2 linked regions of the Lonchura striata genome follow. The protein of the gene in region 2 interacts with the protein of the main gene of each other region in a biochemical or structural test. Links are inferred from orthologs where the notes say so. Each region holds a gene or a part of one and is shown on either strand. Other genes may lie near its edges.

Region 1 (10,662 bases), on a different chromosome or scaffold from region 2:
ATACTGAATAGCAGGGAAGTCAGGAGATAAATGTTTTGCTTTCAGAGACAAAAATTTAAATAAATATTTACATTAAATCAGAAATCAACAGATTGTCTGATCAGAAGTCTTTATTAAGAAAAAAAGCCCTGGGGTATCCTCTTAAGGAACATAAAAGGAACTCCTTGGCTGGGACACAGCCTCGGTCAGCGCTGCTTCCATGGCTCTCAGCTCTTTCCCAGTCCTTGCAATGTTCCCAGAGATCCCAGAGGATGGCAGGGCCAAGGCTCACATTCGCCTTCTCCGGCAGCTCAGCATGTATTTCCTGTCACACTTGCCTGTGCAGAGCAGCCACGCATGACTCGACAGTGCTCAGCCTTGTCTCCAGAGCTTTGAGTATCACATCCACCTGCAAAATAGCCAGGAAGAGATTCTGGCTTACACACAGGATTTGACAACACAAAGAGCACATGTGGATGTTAAAAAGGGCTCAAATCTCATCTCACACCACCGATTCTTTTCATTCGATTCTTTCCCTGCTGCTCTCATACTTTGAAAGCTCACCCAACTCTAACATTCACTGTCCACACAGTGGACAATTTTCCAGCCTCGGTGTCAGAGCAACACACTCAGCTTAGCTGGACAACTTCCTTACACTATTTGCTCCCAGCTCTTTCTACCTGCAGTCACAAGATTTTAGTAGAGCAAAACATCAACTTGATTTATGATTTTAGATTTCAATACAAAGCTACAGCAAAAGCAGTAAGTCAATTTGCACGAAAGGCAAGAAGAAACATGACTAAAAGTTAAGTGAAGATCTGTAGAAGTGAATCAGAACTAACTAGAAAAAACATACCAAATTACTGAGACATAAATAGGAACCTAATGCTGTGCTTGATAAACAGAAAATGCTAATTACCATAAAAATGGAAGGAAAAGTTACTGAAAATCTTGAATAACTCAAGATACCAATGACATGCTACAATGCACTGAATTACTCTGGGTGAAATAAGCTGTTCCAAATAAAGTGTTGAAGAACATTAAGGTTTCACAGAGGTGATTTAGACAAAGAATGGTATGAGGTTAAATCTCACCTTTTCCAGCACCTCCTGCAAGACAGCTCGACTTTCAAGAGTAAGCGGTTCCTCATGAATAAGAGCTTGCTTTGCTGGGGTTCCTAGAACATAGCTGAGATGCCACAGTTTAGATCATGCACTTCTCACTCTGAAGCCAAAAATCCAGACACGGCACTCCTCCAGAACCCTGAGAGGCAGCCATGGATTCTGAAGCTGCAGGATGCAGTGAAAAATTGCACAGACACCAGGAACAGTGCAGCGCTGGCTGGGAGAAGCAGCATTATTCTCCAAGAAAAGTGCATTCTGCACCCAGGTTAGTGCTGTAGAGAATTTTACTGCCATGCCATTTTACTGCCAAAAAATAAGGTATCACAGCTGTAGAATTAAGAAAAAAACCCAAACGCACTGTGCAGAGCACAAGGGTGAACATCCACAGCAATACAGCAAAATAAATGTGAACTTCAGAAAAAAACAGAGGCATTAAAACTAGTTTGGGTGAACACTGTCCATTAGAACAATGCTTGCATAAAAGAACATTGGCATAAAGCTGTGATTCACTATATACTTACTGAAGAACACCTTAAGACCACTTTTCAGTGCTATAAACTGACTAAACCCATGCACACTTTCATTTTCTAGACAGATTTTAAGAGGGCTGAGTGAGAGTGTCAAGCACATACTCAGCTGTCAGATTTGCCTTTGCCCACCTATTATAGTTTGACATAGAAGTGAGTGTTCTCTAAAAGTTGGAGTCAAATTAATCAGTCATCAAGTTTAGATATTAACACTTAAAGTGACCACTAAAAGCATTAGACACGCCTCTGAGAACACAGGGGGTTAAAAGCAAAGAACTCCCAAGAGAACTCTCTCTTCTGTTCCAGTCCACCACGAGTAGAGAGGGGAAGCCATGCCACCAGTAACTGAAGCAGATCAGAGACCCAGAAAAAGAAAGATGGGTGAGGAGAATGAAACCAAACCAGCTGCCCCACAAGACATAAAGGTAAAAAAGCCACTAAAATGTCCCAAGCAAACTCCCAGAGAGAGAGAGAGAGAGAAAAAGAAAGAGCCCGTTCCACCTAAAAATTTAACATCATGTGCCAGCAGTACACCACAAAGAAAACAAAAATAAGAGAAAAGCAAGTGCCCAGCCATAAGAGTTTAGCAGCCTACTGTAAGATCTCACCCATCCTGGGAGCTTAATACTTTTAACCCTTTCCTGAAAAAAAAAAACTTTACAAAACCTTACTCCTCCTTAATCTAAAAGAAAAGAGATAGCCTAAGACCGAAATGTCAGAAGAAAATGAGGGAAGAAGGCTAAGTAGAAAGAAATACTAGAGTAGCCTTAGCTAGACTTTTCTTGTATTGCCATAGACTAAAACAATTTTCTCCTACAAGACAGAGACTGCATTTTTAAGAGGATAAAATTACTTAAGCTAAAAATGTACAAGAGTAAAGTAAACAAAGAAAAAAAGTTAAAGAGGGTATAGCAGAACCCTCTAGCTTCAAAAAAAAAATATTATCTCTGTTCTTGAGACCCTCAGCCCCAGAGAAGGAAAAAATGGTGGGGACTGTTATCCCAAAAAGAAAAAACTGTTACTCTTTTAGTCCTTAGCAAAACATCCTTAAAAATAAACCCTATAAGCAGCTTCAGTCCATGCACAGTGGTGGGAGCACTGTGACATGGAAGGGAAAGTGTCACAACAGCAAATTTTCTCCAGACAGTACCATGTGTGACACAGAAACACAAGAAGTTACAATTGTGTTTCTTAGAGATCTATAACACAAGACAAACTCGTCTCTCCCTTGATAAACTAAAAATTAATTATCTAAAGAATAGTAACTTAATCAAGAATCCAGAGTTGTGTCTCACTGTGTTTTAGTAGAAATTGAGTAGAATGTTTAAAAGGTTTTCATCCTAAATTCTGTGTATTCCTTTTATTGTAGTTGTAAAATAATAAAGTTTTCTCCTTTGTTTTTAAGCTCAAGCCTGCTCTGCTCTGTTCCTAATCACATCTCACAGCATTCAGTTAAAAAACGTAAATTTTCATTAAAGCGCTGACATTGTGCCAGTGTCAAACCATAATGCCACCTTAGCAAGGACAGAGCAGTGCAGGTTGGACACGCCCCAAGTTCTGCCTGAGCCCCTCTGGCCACACTTCCTGCTGATAATCCGACCCCTAAGGACTCCAGACAGGCCTATCTGGAGCTTGGTTTGGGCACTCCTCTGATCAAATGAGAAGGACCCTTCCCGTGCCCTGGACCTGGTGATATTTTCTTGGCTGGAATGCAATTTCTCATACAAACGGCAGTTCCTCACAGCTGAGCACTCTGATGCCAACAGCAGCAACACAGAAAACCACTCTGGGACAGAGCAGCAGGAAAAGCTCCCTCGAGACTTCCCAGAGATATGACAGGAGCACCCTCAGTGTGATGCCTGGTGAGTGAAGTGGAACTGGCAGGCTGACCCACAAACATTCTGTCTTTACCTGTCAATGGAGTCAATACTGAAACAGAACAAATCTCTCTTATAGTCGAGGTTCCTTGAGGTGCACCTGTAGATGCTGCCAAGTGTCGTTGAGCAGCCAGAGCAGAATAAGGTTTCTACCATGCTGTAAGAAATAACATTTATTTAGAAGAAAATAAAAGGAAAACTTCTCCCCATCCTTTTTCTTAAAAAAAAAAAACAAAAAACACACACACAAAAAAAAAAGCCTCCCTATGCATTAGAATTTTTTTAGGTATTCATTCTTGCTTTACACATTGTAAATTATGAGCATTCATCTTTCAGCCTGAATTTGCAATAGCTCCTCAGGCTGACTGACCTCAGGAAGACCATCAGAATCACTAAATGGTGGTCGGGACATTAAAGCTCATCCCATTCCACCCCCTGCTGTGGGCAGGGATACCTTCCAATGTCCCAGGCTGCTCCCAGCCCCAGTGTCCAGCCTGGCCTGGGACACTGCCAGGGATCCAGAGGCAGCCACAGCTGCTCTGGGCAAGCTGAACCAGGGCCTGCCCACCCTCACAGGGAAAAACTTCCTCTGATATTTCATCTAAACCTGCCTTCCTTCATCCTAATGCCATTCCCCTTGCCAATGGCTCTGTGTCCCTGTGAGAAATCCCTCTGCCTTAGGCCACAAGCGCTTGTACAGAGCACCCCACATAAGAGTTCCAGGGGCTCTGGGGGCCCACGAGCACCCCGGGGCCTTGGTCGGGCTTGTCCTCAGCGCCTTCCCCGCGAAGCCCCGGCGGTGCCCGGCGCTGTGCCCGGCCAGGACCGGCCCTCACCATCCGCACTCGCCGGGCAGCTTGGAGACCTTCCGCTCTGGGTCCACGGCGACGCTGGCGGCCGCACCTGCAGCGGGAGAGAGGGAGGGAAGGAGGGATGGCAGGAGGGATGGCAGAGGGACGGCGGGGACACGCCGGGGCTGCGGGGCCGGCACTCACTACGCAGCAGGATGCAGCCGGTCTCCTCGTCGTTGGACACCCAGCTCGAGGTGTCGCCCACGGGCCGCCTGCAGCCGGTGCACATGAACACCATGGGCATGGGGGCCGCGTCCGCCCGCCGCTCTCGCTTCTGCCGCTCGGCCCGGCCGCCGCCCGGCTCCAGCAGCGACAGCGAGTACTCCAGCTCCGGGCAGAGCGCCATCGGGTCCTGCCCGCCCGCCGAGGGACCGGCAGTGGCCCCCAGCATCGCCTTCGAATGGCCCGCCGAGGAAGCGGCAGTGACGGCGGACATCGACCCGGAACCGCCCCCGCGCCGCCCGCCCCGCTCGCCGGGGCTGCCCCGGAACCGCTCCCCGGGGCCCGCCCGCGCCGCCCGTGCGGCGTTCGGACCTCGTAAGGGCACGGAACTACGACAAAGGGTGTGGTTATTCCGGTACATCGGTTTTGTATGAGGCGATTTATCAGGTCGCTCCTAAGTCAGGGATCCCCCCCTGAGCTGGAAGGGACCCCCAGGGACCATCCAGTGCCACCCTTGCCCTGCCCAGACACCAACAGTCCCACCCTGGGCATCCCTGGCAGCGCTTTCCAAAGGCTCCTGCAGTTCTGGCAGCCTCGGGGCCGTGCCCGTGCCCCGGGGAGCCTGAGCAGTGCCAGCCCCTCTGGGGAAGAGCCTTTCCTGATCGCCAACCTAAACCCCTCCGGATCCAGCTCCAGCTCTTCTCTGGGTCCTGTCCTGCTCACGGGCAGCAGAGACCGGAGCTGCAGCTCCCGGTGAGCTCTGACCTCAGTCTCCTCCAGGCTGAAGAGGCCAAGTGTCCTCAGCCACTCCTGGCGTGACCCCTCCAGACCCCAGTCCTTTCCATCCAGATACATTCAGGAATGTTTTCCAGCCCGGCTGTGCTCGGGAGCTCCCAGGAACAGTGCACTGCTCGAAAAGAAGGGTCTGTGATCCAGCTGGCACTTGTCCAACCTGTCCCTAAGTTACAGGGCACCCATCTCAGTTTAAAACATCCTGAGAAATAACATGAGTGACCGGCAAGAAGCGAGGATTGCGTTTTCAGGGCTCCTCGTACATCTCTGTCATACATTAACACTCATTGCCACGAAATGTTTTCAGTCCCAAGGCAGCCCTTGAGCTGCAGGACCCCAGAGTGATTGGCACAGACACCAGTTGTGCAATTGTCTTTCTGAGGGCGCTGCAGTGCTGCGAAGCAAAGTAGTGGGTCAGAGTTCTGAGCTGGCTTAAAAGGCACCACTGACATGGCTAACAGAACAAACTCCTCGGAGTATTTCTGGTCTTATGAATATTACTGGGATTACATAGATCCAATTCCAGTAGATGGAAGCAAGTTGAAGGTTAATAAATGTAAGTATTGTGGAGTGGTAGGTGCTAATCTTACACAGGGAAAATGTTGGGTACCTTGTCTCACTGACCTGGTTTTGTTTTCTGCAACAGAGTCCATGCCAGTGCCTGGTTTGTGTGAATATGTGTTTGCCTTCAGGCTGGATAATTACTAACAAACACTCTGGGCTTTATCTTACAGTATTTGAAGCTATAAGACTGCTGACACTAATTCTTCTTTACAAGGACAGATTTTTTTTTTTTTTTTGGTCATTTGCTAAGGGGAAATTTGATGACTTGCAAATCTGTAGTGCGGCGTGCTGGTTATCTGTGTGCTACTGTCACCAAAGTTCACTGAAAGAGCAGAGGTTTTCATAAAAATACTGTGTTTTCATCTTGAGACAAGGCTGACATTGCAATGGGTAAACATTCAGACTTTTAGTAAAGGAAATATATGTTTCCACTAGCCAGGAACAATAAGCTGCAAACCTATTCTTTGACCTTTCCTCCTTTGATTTAGTGCTGCTGAACTAATAAAGTAATAGTATCCATTATTGTGCAAATGCTTTGCTGCTGCGGAAACCGATTCTGCTGGGCTTTGCAGTTTATTTCCAAAGGATATGAAGTAGCATTCACCAATCTGACCTTGCCATAGCTCATTCCATTTCACACCTGGCTTTGCACAGTGAAACAGCAGTGTCTTGTTATGGCTACTTGTAGTGGCAAATGATTTTGGTTTTTCTAATGTAACTGCACTGATTAGGTTTTGCTAAAATAAAATGACAAGCTGTGTCCCAGCGGATTAACCGAGGGTGATGGGTGGGCTGACAAAGACCAAGGGAGAGCAGGCAGGGTGTGTTGGAGTCACTTGGCTGCAGACAGTGCTTTCCCTTGATTTCTGTCAAGCCTCTGCCTGTGGTTGTATCTTCAGTTCATTAACAAAGTTACAGGGTTTACTCATTGCTCTTTAGTTTACTGAAGATGGCTGTAACTGTTCAGATGTGGATTCACAGACTAAAATTGTTTTTCCCAAGGTTACTACAGCGAAATTATTATCTGTTCCCAGAAATTGCGATTGCCTTTCAGAATCTTGTCTCTCTCACTAAAAATGCAAGAAACTGCCTTTCTGATGGTGGAGGTTGAATTCTGTGTTAGGAGCTGCTTGTCCTTCTCTTGCCTGAACAGCAGTAGGAAAAAGGAGAAACTTACTCTGCACCCCCTCTAGAAAAGTTTTTCTGTGCATTCAGATCAGCTGAGGGTTTATTGCCTCCAAACTTAGAGCGCCTCACCTTAAAGAAAGTGGTGTGAATATCCAGATCCTTCTGTAAAGAAAATCTTGCTCTCTAATGTTGCAGAGCAACATTTGGTGGTGCTGGGACCAGGAAAATTATGAGCAGCTCCTCTGATTCTCTCAATTTTAAAGTTAGGGCAGATGATTACCCCCAAATTCAACTAGAGAAACCCCAAACTGCTTAGCTAAGCTAGATGTAAGTCTTTGGCATGTGGCTGGCATAGCAAAACCCAAAAATCAGGAATAAACCTTCCCCCATTTTCTCCTTAATAACATTTTACTATCATTTGGATCACCCAGTGCGTAACAGAGATGGTATTTGTGTTGTGGCACTTCCCTCCTTGATACAGTATTTTAATTCTGCTGCCTGTTTTCTTGAAATTTATAGAAACTGTGCTTCTGAGACAAGATGCTCACCCTCTGTTAATTTAAATTTGTTGACAGTTTTATGGAGGAAATTACCCCATATGTGCCTAAGAGTGATCTCATCAGCCTTATTTCCATTAAAAAGCAGGGTAAACTGATTTTGTATTGACTTTTTAGTCCCACTTGTTCTGACACCCCCCCCCCCCCCCGAGAAATAGAGAAGTTTACCACCTTTCAGGCATTTTTGTACTCTAAGAAGATGAAAATAGACATTTTTTCCATGTCAGCAGCCTAGGAGGAATAGAGAGTGCATCCTCTTGGTACTATTATTCTTCCTTCTCCAAATACCAGTGGGAGATCAGCAGGTTACAAGTTCTAATGAAAACACCAAGGGAAATAATTCCCAACAGCTGGTTGGGATTTTTTGTTGTTTTGAGTAAAGGCACCAGTCAAGCAATGAATATAGTTTGTCTTTGTATATTTACATTCTTATTCCCTGAGAAGCTGCTGCTGGGATTATCGGCTCCATGTGCTCAGGGCCATTGCTGGGGCAGCCCCAGGGAATTACACAGTTCCATAACACTGCGATGGGGTTGCAGTTCCCTTGTTCACTTTTGCCTGCTAGGTTTTGGGTTTTTTTTAATATGAAACACAGACCTGAATCTCTGCACTTCTTTTCCTCTATGTGTGGCTAGTTCCTGAAACTTTTTGAGACTGAATTTGTCTCATAAAAATGAAGGTAAACCCAGATGAAAAGTTTTCTATTTGTAATGTTGTGCATCTCTCTCAATTTTCTACAAAAATAATGAAAAATCTTAATTGGCCCATGATCTAATAGGCTATTTATAAGCACTCACACACATATGCACAAAATGTGATGGCAAAATTTAGCAATAGGAAAGTTTTTATAGATTGGTAAAATACGAAAATACATTATTCCAGTTAAAGAAAAAAAAACCACACCAAACAAAAGCAAACAAGCAAAAACCAATTAATTGCAGAATTTAAACCTAGGAAATCTTGATTCAAGCTCCACCCGAGCCCTGAAGCCAATTTATTTGGCTTCGGTGAATTCCATAACATCTATTATAATTGTTTGTAAAAGAAAAAGCCAAAATAGCTCTGACAGGGAATTCTATAAATCCAAACTCTTAATTTCTGTCCCAATGGTGTGGAACACTTCAAAACTCTGGGCTTTTCAAAATGTCCCTGGGTAAAGGAAGAATAAAACAAGCTGCCCTCCCCACTGATATTTTTCAGTAGCCCAGCCTAAACTCCTGTTTCTGATGAGGGAACAGCTGGGCCAGCTCTAGTTTTGGGTTTAAAAGGAGCTGGGCTCATTCCCTTAATCTATTTGTGGCTTTGATGCCAACACAGACTGAACTTTTTTCACAAAGAAGCACTCAATCAAACATACTGGACCTGTTTCAAAGAACACAATGTTTTCTGTACTTGCAGAGGGAAGATTTATTTTGTCTTGGTCAATATTTGTCTTGGAGTCAGTGACCCTTCTTTTTCCACCTCATCTGAAGTAAGCCACCAGCTGTGAATGTAGGGCAGAGCACCCAAACTTCCCAAGGACACCACCAGCACCACAGTGACACCAGGAAGGAGCGTTTTTGAACCAGTGGCCAAAGGTGCTGTGGGGGCAGGAGCAGATCCGTCCCCTCCCTCAAGTGAGCCCAAGGCTCAGGCAATAAAATCAGCACAGCACTGAAGCCTCCATGAAAGAGCAGCTCCCTTTGCTCCCCCAGCCACCTCACACTCCCTCTAAACTGGCTGTGGACACACTTTGGCACTGCCAGCCCTCTTGTTCCTGAAATAAACCATGTGCTCCTGGCAAAGCAGGCAGCATCTTGCCCTCTTCTATGGTGGCTGCAGGGGCACTGCAGCTGAACAGGGCAAGGGGCACATTCTCTTCCACTGCACTGATGTGCTGGGAGGGGCACAGGCACTTGGCAACAAACTCCCCTTGCAATTTCTCTTGGTATAAACTGCTCTCAAGGCTGGAATTCCCTTCCTGGGGGCCTCTCCTGAAAGATCCTGCAGAATTAGGCAGTAACCACTCAGGCTTTCTGCACTATGGTTATGTAAAAGGAGCCATGTTCCAACATCTGCACCAGATGTTGCCACCAGAACACTCTCTGGAGGCTTTTCCCAGCCCTTCCCTCATCCCTGCTGCCATACCCTGTTAGGAGGTTCCCAAGACCTTTAACAAATTGGCACTTGGAGTCCTCTCTCTGAAAGGAGAAACGGAATGATTCAAACGGCACACCTTTATTAGAGATGATAAACCATCTCACTGTGTTTTATTTCTGCCATGCAGAATGCACATGACAGAATTACTCTGCTGTGCCCACAGACTCCATCGTCATTGCCTTTTGGGTCGGCCTTGCTGCGTTTGTGATGTTTCTTTTCCTTGTTTTGCTGTGTATGTCCTGCTCCGGATCAACGCCAGCAAAGTAAGTATAACCAGAGATGAAGTAGATACTGGTGTGAAAAAATAACCTGTAGGAAACATTCACTGCCTCCAGTGACGCAGCAATGACACATAACGTTTATAACTGCACAGAGGGGACACTTCTGTCAGTATTTGGTCGGAGTGTCTCCTGACCCACTGCTCCTCCTTTTATCATCAGAAAATTCAGCTCAGCAGGCTGGTCAGAGATTCAGGATTAGGTCAGAAACAAGCAGAGGGAAGGGAAACAGCAGTCAAAGGGAGCACTAATATTCTCATTTATTGGCACCTAGGGCCTCTGGTATGCTCACAAAGGGTAATAAAAACAATTTTAAAAAGGCAGTTTGCTCAAATAAACCACAAGGCAGGAGTCGGACTAACAACACAATAGACATGGAAATGGATGTGAAGTTGCAGGGTAACAGAGGCATGTTACCAAGAATTTACTGTTCCTAAAAAAGTGGCAGGAGAAGTCTGTGTACTTGAAAATCTCAGAGTGCTTGCAAGACTTAAACAAAATATTCATTTTTAAAGTTTTTTTCACTTTTTCATCATGTTACTGAGCAAAATACTTGGCTTTAAAATACACATATTTATCCTTCATGTATTTAATTTTGGCCATCAAAGGAGCCACTGTGGCTCTAGACAAGGCAAGTCTAGAAATGTTTTCTGGAGTGCCCAGAAATCATTAATGAAAAAAAAA
Region 2 (11,512 bases):
AAACAGCACCATGGGGTTTGGGAAAGGCCCATTGGACAAGGAAAAGTTAAACCCCAGAGCCGAGTTAAACCCCAGAGCTGTCAGTGCCGTGGTGAGGCAGGCACTGCACTCAGAGGCTGAGCCAAAGCAGGGGCCTTTACAGCTTTACAGCCATTTCCTGGAAACACAACCAACACAACCCACTCCAGACAGCCCCAGTGTCTTTTCCAAAGGAAAGGATTGTTAAATACTCACAGATGTTCTCATCATTCCCTGGTGATACCTCATAGGTGGAGTTTCTCAGTGCAGGTCTCTTTGCACTGCTTGCTGAGCTTTCTGTGGTCTCCAACACATCAGTTCCCCCCATGGAGTCACTCTTCTCGTTTTCCTCCCCACAACTATCTTGAACTCCTTCTTTCCTGATGGTTTGGAGTTTGAGACAAGAAATAACAGCCACTGAGGAAGCTGTTCTTTAACAAAAGGGAGGATGTGAAGCCCTGGTGGGCAGGAGCCTGGTGGCCCAGCACAGCAGAGTGGTTTCATGCCCACATCTAAAACATTTCACACTCCTCTGCTGTAATACCCTCAAAAAGCAAAGCCTCAATGAACACTTAGAACACTGCAATGATAGAGAATGTCCGAAGAAGTTACCTCCTCCTTTCCTCAAGAAACTCCTCCACGTACTCCTTCCACCTTCTGTTGAAGCCAAAGGTGAACTTCTTGATGAAGCGGTAGGGGAACCCTGAGGGGAGCACAGGGGACACGAACAGCAGCTCAGCAGGGCTTGCACTCCCTCGGGGCACCGGAGAACCCCCAGAGCCTCTTGAACCCCAACATCAGAGGAACTGGCCCAGACTATTCCATCCAGCACACTCCACTCACTCTTGGGTCTAGGAAACCTCTGCAGCACTAGAGCCACTCTGCTCACAAGCCTTATGCTGCTACTTTTCCTTCTCAGAATATTAATATAGAAACAAATATAACTTCTTAGCAAAGTAATAAAATCTTCAATGGAGCAGATGAAGAACAAAAAGAAGATCAGACAAAACCGACAAAACCCAAATCCTCTGTCTTGTCTTCTCTCCACCTCCATACTAAAAACCCAAAACTCTAAATTTTTCACTCTGTGATAAACTATACTACTGTTGACTTCACACACTCAGATTCCAATTCATCCCAAAGTCTTGGAAGCTTTCTCTATAGACAAAGGTTAAAAGCAGTGTTCTCCTGGGGATCAGGATATCTCAGGACAGGCAGAGAAATATTCCCTGTGCCCTGGGTTCCATCCATGGGCCTGAAAGAGCCCACAGTGAGGGAGTGTTGTGTAAATATGGTGTAACACACCTGGGGCACACCTGTGTTAGGGGAAGTAATGCTGAGGGAACGGCTGGAGCTGGAAGTGGGGTGGAGGCTCAGGCTGGAATCAGGAAAGGCTCTTCCCCAGAGGGGCTGGCACTGCCCAGGCTCCCCAGGGAATGGGCACAGCCCCGAGGCTGCCGGAGCTCCAGGAGCCTTTGGGCAGCGCTGCCAGGGATGGACAGGGTGGGATTTTGGGGAGCTGGGCAGGGCTATGATTGGGATGATCCCTGTGGGTCCCTCCAGCTCCATGATTCCAACTAATCTTTGTGTCCTCAGAGCTGCCTGTGAGCACTGACAAGCAGCTCATTCCCAGCCAACGTGCCAGAGCAGCACACAGAGCAAGGAGAACAAGTCCTGTATTTCCATCTGCATGGAAATCCCATTTCCTTACAAATCCCACATGCTCCAAAGCAAGCTGAAAGAGTCTGTTATTTGTAAGGCATTCAGAATCAGCAGCTCACCCTCCTTCCTCATGGCAGCTGTGTCTATCTTGCCCTGCAGCAGGTAGACAGTTCCCGAGGAGGTCTGCACCTGGTTGTGAGTGATGCGCTCGGTGACGGCGCTGCTGTGCCACAGCTGGTTCGTGTCCCTGGCAAAAGACACAACAGCAACCACGGAAATCACCTCCAGAAGGGACTGCAGTCTGGAATGCTGGCACTCCATCAGGGAGGGGTGGTGATCCCTGCTTTCTGAGGGATTCAGGTGCAGGCAGGATGTGCTCTGGGCTCAGTTTTCCTTCTTAGCCGGGAATGACACAGCTCTGCCTCTGTGCCTGACACCGGGGCAGGGACAAAGTGAACGAGTCACCGCTGCAGGTGTCACTCGTGGGACAGCAGCTGGGATGAAGCCAGCTCATTACTGCAGCCCAGCTTGGAGGGGGCTTGGAGCAGCCTGGGACAGCGGGAGGTGTCCCTGCCCTTGGCAGGGGTGGGGCTGGATGGGCTCTAAGGTCCCTCCCAACCCAAACTGTCCAGAGCTATTTGATACTTGATTTATTTCTCTGAAGCTTTCTGATTATCTCAGCACAGGACTCTGAAATGAGTTCACCAGTAGCTCCCTGGATGCTGGCTCTCCTCCTCTTGCCCACACAAAGGAATTGTCTCTCTTCCTTGACAAAATCTAAGCTCTGCACCATTACCTCATGTTTGATGTCCATGGTTTACTTTACATTTAAATAATAAATTGGTTCTTACTTCCTTTTCCCATCCACACAGATTGCCATGTTTCCAGGCAGCACTTTAATCCTCCAACTGTTCAGGCAGATGTTTTTCTGTTTCAGATAAAAAAAAAGAAAATAAATCATTTAGAAGTATTTATTACCTAGGCCCCCTCAGTGATCAGATCCAATAACAGAAGTATCTCTTTCAGTATCTTCTAAGCTACAAATCTGGAATACTAGAGGATATCTGATCCTCGGCTCAGTCCTGAAGGTAACTTGGTTTAGTTCAGAAACAAACACTCTAGGCCATGGTGAGGAAGAAGAGAACAAGTCCCTTGCAATCCCAGATTTCCCCAGAGAACAAGGAAAGCACAGGCCTTGGGCAGGTGTGCTTGTGCCAGGGAATCCCAGGGATGCAGCACTGCTCTCCTAGGAAGAGATTCTGCTCCAGTTAAATTGATCAGGAGGCTGGATGCTCCATAGGAAAGCCAAGCCCTTCCCCTGCCCAACAGCGCATTCCTGGATGGATTCATGCCCAGCTGGGAAAGGTCTCTCCTCTCTGGATCTGAGCAGGCAGCCAGGAGCTGGCAGGGCCCTTGATCACACCATGGCTTGTGCACACTAAACCAAAAGTGCTTCTTTTACATAAAAAAATCCAGACCCTCAACGTTTGTCATCTTGGAGCATGGAAAAAAAGGAACCCTTTGCACGGGAAAATTTACTGGTAAAATCTAATGGAATAACAATTTATTCTCCTCTCAGTGTTCCTTGCTTTTGACAAGAAAAAGAATAACTTCCAGCTATCAGCCCAGAGGAATTTCTAATTTTCCCTCAGGGATTATTTTCTCCCACCTCTTTGTGTGCTTTGCCAGCAGGTTGATCAGTAGGAGGTTTATCCGAAGGGGCCTTGGGTTCTTCTGCCAGCTTCTGCTTCCTTGGGATTTGGACTGGAGAGCAGAGCATGATGCTACAGAAGCGCTGGGGGGACTTTTCAGGATTAGCCTCGGGTGCCTTTTCCACTGCTGGAGCAGCTGGTTTTTTGCTGGGCTGCAGCTCTCTCCTGTCTTCATGAAGCTCTCTATGTTCTCCATTTCCCCACCTTCCTCTCGCCCAATCCCCGTTTTTCAAAGGGGTGGAGTTCACTTGCAAAGGAGTAGACACTGCACTTCGAGACATTTCTCCATCAGCATCTACTTCTATAGATTCCACCAGGAAAACATCCACATCATCCTTATCAGAGTCCACATCCTGTGCAGGCTCATTCCCTGGCTGCTCAGCACCAGCAGGCTGCCCTGAAGGATTCTCTGCAGTTGTGGGAGGAGGAACATTCTGCTGGGTTTGGGTTGAAGGTGTTCTAGCTGCCCATTTAAATAAAAAAAAAAAGGAATAACAAAAAAATTAGGGATGTTTAAGCATGGGAAGAGGCTGCCTAGGGGGTGGGGGAGACCCATGCCAGGAGGGATTTAAAGCCCTGTGGATGTGGCACTTGGGGACAGGGGAGAGTCCTGGGGGAACAGTTGGACTTGATGGCCTCAGAGGGCTTTCCCAAGCTCAGCAGTGCCATGGCTCTCTGCCTGCAGGGAGTTTGTGTTCTCAGAGCAAGCCCAGTACCTTGTTGCTGCTGCAGCAGCTGCCACTTCACCCGCAGGAAGAACTTCTGGGGGGTTTCCAGCACGGGAGGCTCTGCTGGGGGCTCTTCCCTGGGAACATGAGGCAAAATTGGCTCTGGAAAACAACCAGACAAACAAACCCCAAAACCCTCTTTAGATTTATGGAAGAAAAACATTTCATGGGGGGCGGAGGTGGGAACAATATGATCTTTTATATGCTTTTTATTAAAAAAATCCCCACAGAGTCCCAGAAAGGTTTGAGTAGGAAAGGACCTTAAAACCCATCCCATTCCACCCCCTGCCATGGCAGGGACACCTCCCACTGTCCCAGGCTGCTCCCAGCCCTGTCCAGCCTGGCCTCGGGCACTGCCAGGGATCCAGGGGCAGCCACAGCTGCTCTTTTCCTCTCTTTCCTCTCTGTGCCAGGGCCTGCCCACCCCCATTGTAAAAAAGGGTCACATCCAGCTCGGTGCCAGCTGCAAACCTGCTGAGAGGGCACTGGATCTCACCATGTCATGGATAATGATAAAAACCAGCAGGGAGAGCCCAGGAACGTACCCCAGTGGGATTTCAAACCCCAGGCACGGTTCCATGAACATTTCTCTTCCCTGCACAGACCATAAGGAATAGCTACAGCAATTTTGGTTTTAGTTACAAGGTGTTTTTGAAGGTGTTGCACACATCCAACCCACTCATGAACACAACATAAAGAACAATTAGAGCCATAGCGAGGCAGAGGGGAAGGAAACCCAAAGGGAGGGAATCCTCTACGATACAGAGCAGGGAAGAGACATCAGCACTGCTGCAGACATATTTCAGCACTAAAAAACTTCACCACCCAACTTTTTTTAATCCCAGCAGCTGGGGTGCAACCAGTGCTGATGTTTTCTACAGCCACCAAGGGGCTCTGGCTGCTCTTCTCAGATCCTGGAAGAGCCATGAGCGGGACCAGAGGGAAAATGTTCACACCTGAGACAGCTCTCCTGGAGAAGCTGTGGAACAATCATTGCTTCCCAAGGTGTTGGTGTCAAGGGGCTTTGTCCTCTCCATGGGCCTTCCAAGGAGAAAGGATTAAGGCAATTGCTAGCAGCTTTGAGAGCTCTTTCCTTTCAACAGGAGACTCCAGTGTGCTCCAAAATAATAAAAACCGTTCGGGAAAAAGAACTGCTAATAATTCCTGTAATTTGGCATTGTGGACTAGTGTAAAGAATGAAGAGGTCTAGGAGAACGTGAAAATCAGGGATGTCACTTACTACAACACAAGACGCCTAGAAGTTCTGTGACCCAAACTCAGGTTTACTTACACCTTTGCGCTCTTTATTCCAGCTATCCACACCGGCATTCACACCATTCCCGTGGAGTCACCGGGGGCTCGTACAACTCACCTGCTCCGGGCTGGGCGCTGCGGTGCTGCGGGGCCGCGGGGCTCAGGATCACGTCGGGGGCGACAGCGCGCTGCCGCTCCGCCCGCGCCTTCATCCGCTGGAAGATCCTGAGCGGCGACTCCTGCGCGGCCGGCTCCGCAGCAAGGCTCCGCTGCGGCGGCCGCTCGGCGGCGGGCCCGGCCCGGCCCGGGAGATCGGGCCCGGCCCGGCTCCGGAGATCGGGGCCGGCCCGGCTCGGGAGATCGGGCCCGGCCCGGCTCTGGAGATCGGGCCCGGCCCGGCCGTGGAGATCGGGGCCGGCCCGGCTCTGGAGATCGGGCCCGGGCCGGCTCTGGAGATCGGGCCCGGGCCGGCTCTGGAGATCGGGGCCGGCCCGGCCGTGGAGATCGGGCCCGGGCCGGCTCGGGAGATCGGGCCCGGGCCGGCTCTGGAGATCGGGCCCGGCCCGGCTCTGGAGATCGGGCCCGGCCCGGCTGTCGCCATCATCCCGGCGCTCCGGCTCCCCGAGCTGCGAGCCCGAGGCGCGGCCACCCGCGGCCGCGCCGCTGCCCTGGCCCTGCAGGAGCTGCTTCAGCGGGGTGAGCGTCCCCGCGGGAATGCTGCTGAGGAACACCGAGCGCACTGGCGGCTGTCCACAGGCGGAGCGGCGGCTGGGGGTGGCGATAATGTCGCAGACCCCGCCGCGGCGGTCCCCGGCGAGCCCCGGCCCCGCCATGGCCGCGGACAGGCCCGGCGGCGCTCCCGGCCCGCCGCGCTCCCCTCACGGGCCCGCGCACAGATTCGAGCGCCGCCGCCGCGCCCGCCGATTGGCGGAGCTGCGGGCCGAGACCACCGAGCGCGGGCGCGGGGGGGTGTTACGAAATAAAAACCTTGCCGGATGGCGTTGAGGCAGGCGGGAGCAGGCCCGGGCTATGCTCGAGCTCCCCTCCCCTCGGCATGGTGGTTCGGTCCGCCTGTGGGCGGGCTCCGCAACCGTTAGCGCTGAGAGGGGCGGGCTGAGGCGGGGACGGAACGGGGCCGGGCCGAGATGGGGCTGAGGCGGGACCGGAACGGGGCTGAGGCGGGGACGGAACGGGGCCGAGGCGGGGACGGAACGGGGCCGAGGCGGGGACGGAACGGGGCCGGGCCGAGATGGGGCTGAAGGGGGAACCGGATCGGGCCGGGGCTGAGGCGGGGCCGGGACGCGGCTCCACGGGAAGGTCCGGAGCTTACGAAGAGCCCCGGGAGCGCCGCGGGGCGCAGCCGCGGCTCGCCGGAGCCTTTGCGGTGTGCGGGAGCCGGCGGAGGCAGAGCCCCAGGCCTGGCAGGCTCTGGTGTGTCCCGGCCGGAAGATCGTGTAGTAGGGGTTCAGAGGTCAAGCGGCAAACAGGGGAAGTTACTTGAATAATGCATAAAAAATAGAGGATAAATTGGAGTCACAGGTGTAGCCAGCTGTAGTCCTGCTAACAAGCAGCTGCAGTGGGATCAGGTGTGTCTGATTCCCAAATTAATCCCAGCAGGTGAGTTAGAAACTCAGGTCTGGGTACAAAATTACTTCAGTGTGTGCCTGTTGATAATAAACAGCTGTCTTTAGAAACAAGGTGTTAATTTGGGGTCCTGTTTGCTGCTTTTCAGCTTGTTAAAATAATGAAAGACTGGGTTCATTGCAGGAGATGCACGTGCTAATTAGCAGGCCAGTTAACAGAGCAGAGAGGGAGCTGTGCTTGCTGCTCCCCAGAGAATTCGGGAGAAGGAGCCCCCAGGGCTGCAGTGCGGGATCAGAGGCAGGTGAGTGTCAGGGGAGGGGGCCATGGAAACACAAGGGAGCTTTGCATTTCCTCTGCTGGCATCTGCCTGGCCTTGGCTCCTAGGCTGCTCCTGTCTCAGGGTCTCGGTGCTGGGCTGACCCCAAGAGTGTAAAAGCCCTTGTTTCCCAGGCCATGCAGCTAAAGAAGTCTGAATGTGCAGGATCAGCTTCTCAAGGGTGTTTATTTTTCCTTATCCAGAACATTCTTTCTCTGCCCTGCTGAGCTCTGTCCAGCAGCTCGGCCATGGCAATCTGCGTCTCACCTCGGGCAGAGTTTACATTATATACTCAAAAGTTATGTGTGCTATATTTACAATATATTTACAATGTGCGCTATATTGGCTATATTTACAATATAGCCAATATCTATCATCTATGTTGGACAGTGTGTCTGTACCTTAAACCAACAGAAAAGTGTCACCAGCACAGCAAGACATGGAGGGCAAGAAGAAGGTCAGGATATGTCCAAATTCCTCCATCTTGTACCCCTGAACCCCATTCTAAAAACCCCAAAATTCTACTTTTCCACCCTGTGTTAACTCCCACACTACTCAAACTCTTGTGGCTGTAATTCCTCACACAGAGTTGGCAGCTTTTTCCACAGGCTAAGATGGAAGCCACGGGTGTTTGTGACTTTGTGCCAGGGTCTGGAGCAGCCAGGGCAGCCAGAGGGATGTGCTGGGCTCTGACAGTCCTGCTGGAGCTTCCCAGGGAAGGAATGGGGCTGGCAGATGTGTAGGTGGAATAGAGAATGAGACCATGGAAAAGTTACGACAGGGATAACAAGCTGTGTTTAGGGTTTGCATCAGTGAAATGTCTGATTGTGGTTTCTGATGCACTGACTTCACACAGTTGGCATGGCTGCATTTGGTTCATGTGTCCTTAAAAAGCACAAAACCCCCTGTTCAAGCCATCATTTACTCCTTACAGATATTTCTTAACTCCTTATCTGCTCAGCTTTTGCCTAAATGATCAAAAGCAAAGAAAATTCGTTTTGCTCCAGTTAGTTGCAGAAGCCACCATTGTGCTTCATTCCAGGAACAAAAAATCCACAGGAAGTCAAGATTTAAGATCCCAAAAAGCTGAATAAACATTTATTTTTATACCTCTATACTCAATATACAGGATTGATTAATTAACTGACAAGACTTGTCAAAGGAACCTTCCAAAAAAAGGGAAAAACTTTAAACATTTCTATGAAAAAAACACAGGAAAGCACACACCCTCAGCCCAATTTCCCAAGGAGAAATTCCTCCTTTCCAGGAACAAACGCGTGTGTGAGATTTGTGGGTGTAATTTGGGTAGCTGTGGAATTCCTACAAATTTTGTTAGAATTCCTAAGATACATTAGCATGGCTGAGCAGGTCCCCTCTTGTTTGTGTTACCAGATGCCAGTGGAGCTTCCCAAATGGAATCCCAGGATGGTTTGGGTGGGAAGGGACCTTCAATCCCACCCAGTGCCACCCCTGGATGGGCAAGGACACCTTCCAGTGTCCCAGGCTGCTCCAACCCCAGTGTCCAACCTGGCCTTGGGCACTGCCAGGGGTCCAGGGGCAGCCACAGCTGCTCTGGCAATTCCAGCCCAGCCCCTCTCCAACCTCCCAGCCAGGAATTCCTAAATCCCAATATTCCATCTAAATTTCCCCTCTGGCAGAAATACATTTTTTTTTCCCATAAATGGCATTTCTTGAATATATTTTAAGCTTGTTTGCTGTTTGTTCCATAAAGGAAGAGATCGGGTCTATTATTCAGAAAAGAAAGACTAATCCAGATGAAACAGGAAAAGCTGTTGAGGGTAAAAGAGATAATTTGATTTTTGTTGAGTGTCAGTGGTTCTGGGGCAGAGAGGTGCACCTGGAAACAATAAATGCAGATTTAGCTCAAGGCCTCTAAGTGACTTCTGAGCCTCATCGGCTGCTTGTGCTGTGGGTTTAGAAGGAGGAAAGTGGGTTTTACTGGGATTTATCCATGTGGATCTCTGCAATTACCAGGAAGCACCTAAAACTGGGAATCCTGCTGCTTCTCTTTGGGAAGGTGGCTGATGGCAATCAAAATCTTCATGGAAAAAAAAAAAAAAATTCATGGGGCAAGGATGATGATTCCATTCTAAAAACTTTTCCAAGTGCCCCTTCCAGACTTCTGCCTCTTTAGGTCCCAGTGGAGGTGCAACCCATGCAGCTGAAGTTTCTGCCCTGGGTGGATCAGCAGTTTTGGCAGCAGCTGCAGAAATTCCACCCCAAAAGTCTGTGGTGTGGGTTGTACAGCCCAGACACCTCGGTGAGATCTGCAGTGTGGGGATAAACTGGGGAGAAACCCCAGAACACCCCTGCATGCTGTTTGGCTGAGGGGGGTGTGCTTTTCTGTGTTTTTTCATGGAAATATTTAAGGTTTTTCCCTTTATTTGGGAGGTTCCTTTGACAAGTCTTGTCAATTAATCAAATCCTGTAAATTATATATATCAGGTATAGAGGTATAAGAAAAATATTTATTCAGCTTTCTGGGATCTTAATTAATTGCATGTCTGGAAGCAAAACCCAAATGTTTATTTTGTTTGGGGCAGCTGGAAGAAAATACTTATATTTCATATATTTATACATATATAGGTTTGATTTATTAGTGAATAGTCTTCATTAAACCTAAGGAAACGTTTTCCTGCTGGATTTCATTGTATCTCTGTGAAGAAGCAGACTGACAGAACACCACACACTGTGCTTAGGGTGTTTTATTCTTATTTCATCTTTTCCTCCTCTGGTTTAGGATTATTTATGTTCCCAGCCAGCAGCTCGGGGGGTGGAAGGAGGGAGTGGGAAAGGAGGTTGTGCTTTAGGGATAGCAGAAAAATAATGAACAACAAAAAAAATGAATTACGAGCAGCTGTGCCCGGGCTGGGGTTCCTCTCGTGAGGGAACATTTCTGCATGCCGGGGGAAGCCCAGCGTTCCGGAGGGAAGGAGAAGCGCCCAGGTGCGATGGGAGAGGAGCGCTGTCCCCACGAGGTGGCAGGAGCTGCCTGCCCGCATCCATCCATCCCTGCCCGCATCCCTGCCCGCATCCCTGCCCGCAGCCATCCATCCCTGCCCGCATCCCTGCCCGCATCCCTGCCCGCATCCCTGCCCGCAGCCATCCATCCCTGCCCGCATCCCTGCCCGCATCCCTGCCCGCATCCCTGCCTGCAGCCATCCATCCCTGCCCGCATCCCTGCCCGCATCCCTGCCCGCATCCCTGCCGCTGCCAGCGCCGCGATCCCGCTCCGCCCGGGAGCAGCCGCTGGAGCCAGGCTGCGGGACGGGAGCGGGCCGGTGCGCGGCACAGCTGAGCCGGCCATTCCCGCAGCTGCCTCGGGAAAGCTGCGGCTGCTCGTCGCTCACACGGAGCTGCTGCTGCCGCCCTCCCGCTCGCGGTCCCCTCGCACCACACGAGCGTTTTGGCTGATTTTGCTGCCACGTGAGGCACAGAAATGACACTGCCAGGGACAGCACCCCGGGAGCAGCTGGGGCTGGGCCAGGCAGCTCAGGCTGGAATCAGGGAAAGGCTCTTCCCCAGAGGGGCTGGCACTGCCCAGGCTCCCCAGGGCACGGGCACGGCCCCGAGGCTGCCGGAGCTGCAGGAGCCTTTGGGCAGCGCTGCCAGGGATGGACAGGGTGGGATTTTGGGGAGCTGGGCCGGGATGGGGCTGGGATGATCCTGTGGGTCCCTCCCAGCTCAGGACATTCTGGGTTTCAGTGAATGATTTCTGACTTGTAAAGGAAACAGCCCCAACTCTTAGGCAGTTGTTCTGGTGACTGTCACCTCCGTGAGAAAACTGTGCCTTCCTTCCCTCCTACCTGGAATGGTTTTGCTTTGAGTTTCCAGCTGCTCCCCTGCCCAGCAGGGTTCCCTAGGAACACGTACCCCCACGGGCTCCTGAGTGCTGCCCTCAGTCCTGTCCCACAGCTGTCACAACCTGAGCTCATTTTTAATTCCCCTCTCATTTTCCCACTGCTGCTGGAATGCATTCCTTAATATTCCCTGTAGTGCTTGGCTGCTGCTTTCTTGTTTCGGTGTGCGAGTGTTCCTGGCTAGTTCCTGAGCCCTGGTTCTCGTGCTGGCCCCGCTGATTCTCTCCTTTCCCAGAGATTCTTTCCCTGGCTGTCCCTGGAGAACAATCCCAGCCTGTCCCAGCTGGAAGCACTGAGCCAGGCACTGCTGCAGCTTCTGGACCGGTTTCTCTCTGAGTTTGGGGATTTGAAGCTTTG

What was found.
Region 1: the proteins of MIS18BP1 (region 2) and MIS18A form a complex in vitro, tested with the Homo sapiens proteins (2 studies listed by BioGRID). The link is inferred for Lonchura striata from reciprocal best matches to the Homo sapiens genes MIS18BP1 and MIS18A.

What each region holds. Positions count from the first base shown.
Region 1 is NC_134603.1:157,146,582-157,157,243, reverse strand, and holds the start of MIS18A (protein Mis18-alpha), read right to left. Parts: upstream 4,796-10,662; 5' UTR 4,795-4,795; coding exon 4,503-4,794; intron 4,411-4,502; coding exon 4,344-4,410; intron 3,665-4,343; coding exon 3,542-3,664; intron 1,168-3,541; coding exon 1,074-1,167; intron 389-1,073; coding exon 318-388; coding exon of another isoform or gene 308-317; exon of another isoform or gene 1-307. UniProt on the Homo sapiens protein: Required for recruitment of CENPA to centromeres and normal chromosome segregation during mitosis.
Region 2 is NC_134608.1:1,096,075-1,107,586, forward strand, and holds the start of MIS18BP1 (mis18-binding protein 1), read right to left. Parts: upstream 4,682-11,512; 5' UTR 4,551-4,681; coding exon 4,109-4,550; intron 3,856-4,108; coding exon 3,350-3,855; intron 2,609-3,349; coding exon 2,532-2,608; intron 1,928-2,531; coding exon 1,800-1,927; intron 722-1,799; coding exon 631-721; intron 399-630; coding exon 235-398; intron 1-234. UniProt on the Homo sapiens protein: Required for recruitment of CENPA to centromeres and normal chromosome segregation during mitosis.